2 linked regions of the Lepisosteus oculatus genome follow. The protein of the gene in region 1 purifies or fractionates together with the protein of each later gene. This does not show direct contact. Links are inferred from orthologs where the notes say so. Each region holds a gene or a part of one and is shown in the gene's direction. Other genes may lie near its edges.

Region 1 (3,748 bases):
GACACACAGACAGGGAGAGAGAAGCTGGGGGTCAGAGCGCAGGGTCGGCCATTTATACAGCACCCCCGGAGCAGCTGGGGTGAAGGGCCTCGCTCAGGGGCCCCAACGGAGTAGGATTCCTCTGCTGGCCCGTGGGATTTGAACTGGCAACCTCCCGGCCACAGGCACAGATCCTGAGCTGCAGAGCCGCCACTACGTCCCCAACTCTTGTTCAGTGTTGCGAGACTGCTCCTGACTGCGAGAGCGTCCGAAGGGGTTGGCCGCCGGAAAAATGCGGCTATCAGGCCCATCCGGCCCTATGTGCTAGTTAGCAGTTAATCGATCCCACGATCTCATCCTGTGCTTGCTTGAAAGAAGTTAATCGGCTTCAACAGCATGGCTGGGTAACCTGTTCCCCACTCCCGCCACCCTCTGTGTAAAGAAGAGCCTCCTGTCCCGAATGGAGGAGCTCACCCAGCTGTGTCTGGAGAGAAGCACGGGTATGGGCTTCAATAACATGGCAGGGCCGCTTGTTCCACACCCCCACCACCCTTAGTGTAAAGAACTGCCTTGTGTGCTCGGGAGGCTAGAACGAGTGTTCAATGGCTTTAAACAGCTGGAGCAATTTCATTGTGACCTCTGAAACAGCTGGCCTGATCAATGTGATCAATGCAGCAGTTCAGAGTGCCTTTGAAAAGAAAATACAGACATCCTCTAACTTTTAAGGAGCATGGCTAGACATCACTGATTTCATTGAACTGACTCACTCAATGGATCAAAACCCACGTCTGTTCTAAGTCTTTAGAAAGTGTCGATTTAATTAATCTCTCAGAGTGCTGATAGATTTTGGCTCTCCAGAACATGGCCTGGCCGTGTATACAATATGAAAAGTGCATATAGTGTATACAGTGTACATGTACTAAAAAGTGTTAGCTTCAGAGCCGAATGTTAATCATGTGCGACGTTCAGGAGTTTCAGTTTTCCTTTCCCGGGCTAAAACGAAAGCGTGCTAGCTTTTGTTTTGTCACGACCGGGAGGCAATTTAAAAATCTGTCCGCCCCGGCAGGTAGCCGCCACCGCCACCCAGGATTGGCTGGTGACGATAACGTGGTTTAAAAAAAAAAACAAACAAACCTCCCCGGACTACAACTCCCACACTGCATCGCGGTAGCAGCAGGAAGCGGGGCAAGAGCGAAGCTCCGAGAGGCGCAGAGATTGCAAGTTTTTTTTTTTATGTCGTACCCTACAGGGGTTATACCTTGTTAAAACTGATGGGTGAGTATTGAATATACCTCAGTGCGGGATGAAACGGCGCCGTCTGGTAAATTCACTTGAGGATAAGGCATGCACGGTGCGGAAACGAAAGAGCTGTTCCCTGTTTTATTTATTTTGCGCTACGGACAAATAAAGAGTTGTGCAATGAAGTTCTGTCTAGCTCTTTTCCTACCAAGCAGTGCTTTTTTTTTTTAATTTGAACATTTTGAAAATTGCGTGGGCTCTTTTGTGCTTCACGGGGGGTTTTTGCAGCGTGATGCAAGCTGCACCGTGGGCTTTTAAGGTTTGCAGGTAACGTGCGACGCTTTTTCAGTCCGGCGCAACCTTGTGTGTGTTAACGAAACGCATCGCTCGGGCTGTACCTGCGACGTGGCATCATTGATCGGGATTTTACGGTGCGGGATTTTATATTCCTGAGCGACGGGTCGCAGAGACGTAGCTAACTTCTCTTCTTGTCTGACAGCGGTGTGATGGGTCAGCCCGGGTGATTATGTACGTGCCGAAGAAAAGAAAGGCGAACGGACGCTGGATTTGATATTAAAAACAGGTTGGTCACCTCACGCCGTCCGAAAACACCGCTCTCGTCAGATGTCGAATCAGCTCAAAAAAGTTTGGGTCCTTATCTTCCCAAACGCCTTTTTTACCGGTGCTGTGCTTTGTGGACTGTTTGAAGGAGAACCACGTTACGATGCACGTAAAGTTCAGACGCTTTCTGTGTTGAAGATACCCAAAGCTCTTCCTTAAGTTCCTTTTTCATTCCGTTGTTCGGGGTGTTTCTCAGAAGATCTCGTTTGTGATGTTGCTTGCGAAGTCGTGTTTCCCCGTCGTTATGGCTTAAAAAAAAATGTGTCGGGCTTAAATCCCTTATGTCTCTGAATATGTGTCGCCGCCTTCTTCATCTCGGCTGCTTCTGGATTAATGACCTTCATAGTCTCTAAATAGGTCTTCTCGGCTTCTCGAGGTGTCACATGTTCGTATGGGGAATAATGTTTCCATTTACTGCTTTCCCAGCAAACCGCAGAACTAACGGCCCCCACAGACGGGAAACATCTGGCCAAGAACAACTGGAGTCTCTCAAGAGAGACTGTGAGCTCACTGCCAACCTTACTGCCCTTCCAAGAAACTGGCCAGCTCCTGATGGGGGTCCCTGCAGATCGCTGCAAGGCAAAAGATGCTCGCAGAGTGCATTAGAAAATGGATCAGTCCAGTGGGATTCATCTGCCTAAGAATAGTTACTATACTGAGAGGAGGCCATGAGACCATCTAATCTGATTAGTAACAAGGAGCTGATTGAATGTCACTTAACGACCTTTGCTGGGCAGCCTGTTCCCCACTCCCACCACCCTTTGTGTAAAGAAGCCCCCTCCTGTCCGGACTGGAGCCTCTCATCCAGCTGTGTCTTGACAGCAGCGAGGGTGTTGTTGGCTTCAACAACGTGGCTGGGCAGCTCGTTCCCCACTCCCACCACCCTCTGTGTAATGAAGAGCCCCCCCTTGTCCTGACTGGAGGAGCTCACCCAGCTGTGTCTGGAGAGAAGCCAGGGTATCGGCTTCAAGAGTGCAGCTGGGCAGCTTGTTCCACTCTCCTGCCACCCTTTGCGTAAAGACGTGCCTCCTGTCCTGACTGGAGGAGCTCATCCAGCTGTGTCTGGAGAGAAGCCAGGATATCGGCTTCAACCACAGGGCTGGGCAGCTCGTTCCCCACCCCCACCACCCTCTGTGTACAGAAGAGCCTCCTGTCCTGACTGGAGGAGCTCACCCAGCTGTGTCTGGAGAGAAGCCAGGATATCGGCTTCAACCACAGGGCTGGGCAGCTCGTTCCCCACCCCCACCACCCTCTGTGTACAGAAGAGCCTCCTGTCCTGACTGGAGGAGCTCACCCAGCTGTGTCTGGAGAGAAGCCAGGGTATCGGCTTCAACCACAGGGCTGGGCAGCTCGTTCCCCACCCCCACCACCCTCTGTGTACAGAAGAGCCTCCTGTCCTGACTGGAGGAGCTCACCCAGCTGTGTCTGGAGAGAAGCCAGGGTATCGGCTTCAACCACAGGGCTGGGCAGCCTGTTCCCCACCCCTGCAAACTCCCTGAAGCAATGCCACTTTCTAAAGGAAACTTGATTTTTGTCCTTTTTAGTCAAAGAAAAACCAGAAGCCGGTTCTGCTCCTGGAGATTTGTGAGCTTTAAGATCCAGCCTGTAAGTATCATCTCTCATTTTCGTGAGCCTACCTTCCCCGATCCCGCCACCTCTGACTCGCCTGCTGTTCCCTGTAGACGGGTGGTGCCCCCCCCTCCCGACCCCAGACTCCCGTGATGACACCCCTTTGCTGTGGTCTGCTGTCACAGTTCACCCACCACCACCTGACTGCCTTCGTCCTCACCTTCTTTAGGTAAACTCGTCTCCGTCACTGTGGGCTCGGCTGCAGGGCGTACCCCCCTCTCTCCTCCCCCCCCCCCCCCGTCCGGCCTGAAACGTCTCGACCCCTGCTGATCTTTCTTTT
Region 2 (3,748 bases), on another chromosome or scaffold:
AAGAAGGTTTGCAGAGCTTTAGATATAGACATGGGCAGAGTGGTGGCTCTGTAGCTAAGGATCTGCATCTCTGGCTGGAAGGTTACTGGTTCAAATCCCACAGCTGGCAGAGGAATCCAACTCTGTTGGGCCTCTGAGCAAGGCCCTTAACTCCAGCTGCTCCGGGGTGCTGTATAAATGACTGAGACTGTACTCTAACCCAAGCTTCTCTCCCTATCTGTGTGTCTCATGGAGAGGAAGTTGGGGTATGTGAAAAGACAAATTCCTAATGCAAGAAATTGTGTATGGCTAATAAAGTGATCTTATCTTATCTGTGGGAAACCGCTTTGTAAAAACGACTCTTAAGCGGTCTGTCCTACAGCTTGTGGATGCAATATCAGATGTTTCATAATACGCCGCTAGTGAAAGGCTGCTGTTTTTCCAGCGTATATATTGCACGGCATAATAGCAAACGACAAACCTCATTAAAACTGTCATTTGCCATTTTGGCCAGAGTAAAATATTGAATTAAAACAAAAATAACGATGAAATAATAATAATTGCTTACACTTATCTAGCGCTTTTCTGGACACTCCACTCAAAGAGTGGTAATGGGGACTCCCTTCCACCACCACCAATGTGCACCACCCACCTAGATGATGCGACGGCAGCCATAGTGCGCCAGAACACATCAGCTATCAGTGGGGAGGAGAGCAGAGTAATGAAGCCAATTCATAGATGGGGATTATTAGGAGGCCATTATTGGTAAGGGCCAATGGGAAATTTGGCCAGGATGCCGGGGTTACACCCCTACTCTTTTCACGAAATGCCCTGGGTTTTTAATGACCACAGAGTCAGGACCTCGGTTTCACGTCTCTTCCAAAAGACAGTGCCTGTTTACAGTATAGTGTCCCTGTCACTATACTGGGGCATAAGGACCGAAATGGACCACAGGGTGAGCACCCCCTGCTGGCCCCACTAACACCTCTTCCAGCAGCAACCTTAGTTTTTCCCAGGAGGCCCCCCCAACCAGGTACTGACCAGGCTCACACCTGCTTAGCTTCAGTGGGCTGCCAGTTGGGAGTTGCAGAGTGATATGGCTGCTGGCTAAAATGGTTCAATCAACCAGATTATTTTTGACCACTGCGTCGTCCAGTTAATTCACAATACCATTGCCAGCGTTATTCTCAGGCAGTTAAATACACTAGCATTGTACGCATTGTTGCTCCAGAAGAGGCTTTGGGTTTCTATACCGGAGTACCACCTTAAATTCACAGCTGCCGTCTTCTGCCATCGTTTGCAAAAACTGCGCTGAGCTGCGCAGAATCTGCAAAAAAATCCTGTACGTGGGGTTTGTTGCGTCACGCAGGAGCCCTGGCAGAAAAACGCCGATCGCAGCAGAGTTTGTGCAGAACTGCGGAACCAAAAATCACGTGATTCCCGAATATATCTTGTGACCCGGACTATCTCTACAGTAAGAGATGGGTAAAGGAGCTCGCCGGGTGTTTCTAGTTGGTACTATAGTACTTCTTTTTCCTATTTGTGCTGTTCCTGGCAATTCGCAAACTGTGTACAAGGTCAGAAAAGAATACAAATATTTTCGATATGGTTATGCTTGTTGAAACGTAATGATACTTCACTATTTTCAAAAATCTGAAATAAATCTGTACGGTACTCGTAATTTGGAAGCCTATCGTAACGTAATGTGTATGTAATTATGATTATCTTAATCGTATGTTTTGGGATTATGCTATGATTAAAGGCGCTATGTATAAGGTTTGCTTTTAACGATGGTAATGTTAAATGTCATTACAAACGACGTTGATGTCGTATAATACAATTACATTATACGACATATACATTGATATATGTACTGTATATATGATAATATATATTATATATATGATAATATAGCTACAATACTGCAAAATGTGTTTATGACAGCTTCCTTGAGCAAAACAAAGTGTTGTGCCTTTTGTTAAAAAATATTGGTGACTAAAATCTCGGAGATAACAGAATTATGAGATGCAACCAGAACTTCAGCCACAAATAAGGAACTTGAAGGGTGCTGAGAGCTTTCTTGCTGCTACTTGCCAGATAGGTTTTGTGTGTTACCACCTACAAGAGTAGTTCAGATAATCCCATTTTGTTCAGTACTAAAACGTTTGCTTTTAAATTTCTATATTGGTCAGGAAAGGAGAGCTGTAATTAGGTGAGTCAAAAACTGCTCATTATTAATTTTGAATTGTGAGGCTGGTAAGGTGGTTGTAATATTTTAAAAAGTGTTTTGTTCAATCCACTGGCAGTGCTTTTAAAAGGAACAAGTTCAAACCACAATTTAAACACTGAAACACAAACTAGAGGACACAGCTGGAAACTGCATGGAAGCGCATTGCGCATTTAAGACAAGTGCGTTTAAAACCAAGAACAGGAGACACCTCTTTACCTTTCTTCATTTAAGAACTGTGGGAGTATGGGACAACCCACCTGGCCATACAGTGGAAGCCTTGAATCCGATGTCTTTCAAAAAACCTCTGGATGAGATCCTTGGATCGATCAACTGCTAATCACCAAAGGGGCTGGATCGGCCGAATGGTCTCCTCTTGTCTGTGACCTTTCTGATGTTCTTATTTCAATTGCGCCATAAAGATGGTGGGTTCCTGTTGTCTTTGCCTGTGTGATAGGTGTGTAGCCGGTGTGAGGGGGATCTGCGGAATGGCACAGCAGTGGGCGATCTCTGCCGGTCGAACAGCAGCCTTGAGAGGGAGGGCCGCTGCTGTCTGCAGAAGCAAGCTTTGCCCAGCCCCATTATCGGGTAAGGAGTGTGGCGGCTGGTGTGAAGCATAGACTGTCTGGTCCTCCTTCATTTCACAAAGAATTTCCTAGGAGGAAAATATAAGTTGTATCACCAGCAGCCATGTCACCCTGGACCTCCCAACTGGCAACCCACTGAATCTCAGCAGGTGTGAGCCTGGTCAGTACCTGGAGACCTCCTGGGAAAAACTAAGGTTGCTGCTGGAAAAGGTGTTAGTGGGGCCAGCAGGGGACGCTCACCCTGCGGTCTCTGTGGGTTCTAATGCCCCAGTATAGTGACGGGGGCACTATACTGTAAAAAAGGTGCCGTCCTTCGGATGAGACGTAAAACTGAGGTCCTGATGTTCTGTGGTCCCAGGGCATCTCTCGAAAAGAGTAGGGGTGTAACCCCAGCGTCCTGGCTAAATTTTCCATTGGCCCTTACCGATCATGGCCTCCTAAATCCCCATCTATGAATTGGCTTCATTCCTCTGTTCTCCCCCCCACTGATAGCAGGTGTGTGGTGAGTGTACTGGTCCACTATGGCTGCCGTCACATCATCCAGGTGGATGCTGCACATTGATGGTGGTGGAGGGGAGTCCCTATTACCTGTAAAGCACTTGTGGAGTGGATTGTCAGGAAAAGTGCTATATAAGTGTAAGCAATTATAATTATTATCTGGCACCGTGGCACGTCCTGTTAACTTACTGATCTTTGAAGACAGGTTATCCACCCATCCATCTTCTAATCACTTTATCCAGTACAGGATTACGGGGGGAGCTGGATCCTATCCTGGCAAGCAATGGGCACAAGGCAGGAAACACCCTGGATGGGATACTAGTCCAGTGCAGTGCAGACACACACACTCACACCAGTGCCTGTTGTCCCAAAAGCCAGTGAACCTACTACATACTGTACTACATGTGTTTGGACTGTAGGTGGAAACTGGGGCAGCTGGAGGAAACCGAATTGAACA

Evidence for each region. Proteins that work in one complex are often made in the same cells at the same time.
Region 2: the proteins of slc37a3 (region 1) and atraid purify together in Homo sapiens (affinity purification with mass spectrometry; 3 studies listed by BioGRID and IntAct, counting the BioPlex papers as one, with this or other methods). This does not show direct contact. The link is inferred for Lepisosteus oculatus from reciprocal best matches to the Homo sapiens genes SLC37A3 and ATRAID.

Annotation. Positions count from the first base shown.
Region 1 is NC_090702.1:2,560,273-2,564,020, reverse strand, and holds the start of slc37a3 (sugar phosphate exchanger 3), read left to right. Parts: upstream 1-1,148; 5' UTR 1,149-1,254; intron 1,255-1,525; exon of another isoform or gene 1,526-1,545; intron 1,546-1,717; 5' UTR 1,718-1,801; intron 1,802-3,383; 5' UTR 3,384-3,445; intron 3,446-3,521; exon of another isoform or gene 3,522-3,525; 5' UTR 3,526-3,560; coding exon 3,561-3,637; intron 3,638-3,748. UniProt on the Homo sapiens protein: Unlike the other SLC37 members, lacks glucose-6-phosphate antiporter activity.
Region 2 is NC_090697.1:17,176,103-17,179,850, forward strand, and holds the start of atraid (all-trans retinoic acid-induced differentiation factor), read left to right. Parts: upstream 1-1,431; 5' UTR 1,432-1,460; coding exon 1,461-1,556; intron 1,557-2,663; coding exon 2,664-2,794; intron 2,795-3,748. UniProt on the Homo sapiens protein: Promotes osteoblast cell differentiation and terminal mineralization. Plays a role in inducing the cell cycle arrest via inhibiting CCND1 expression in all-trans-retinoic acid (ATRA) signal pathway.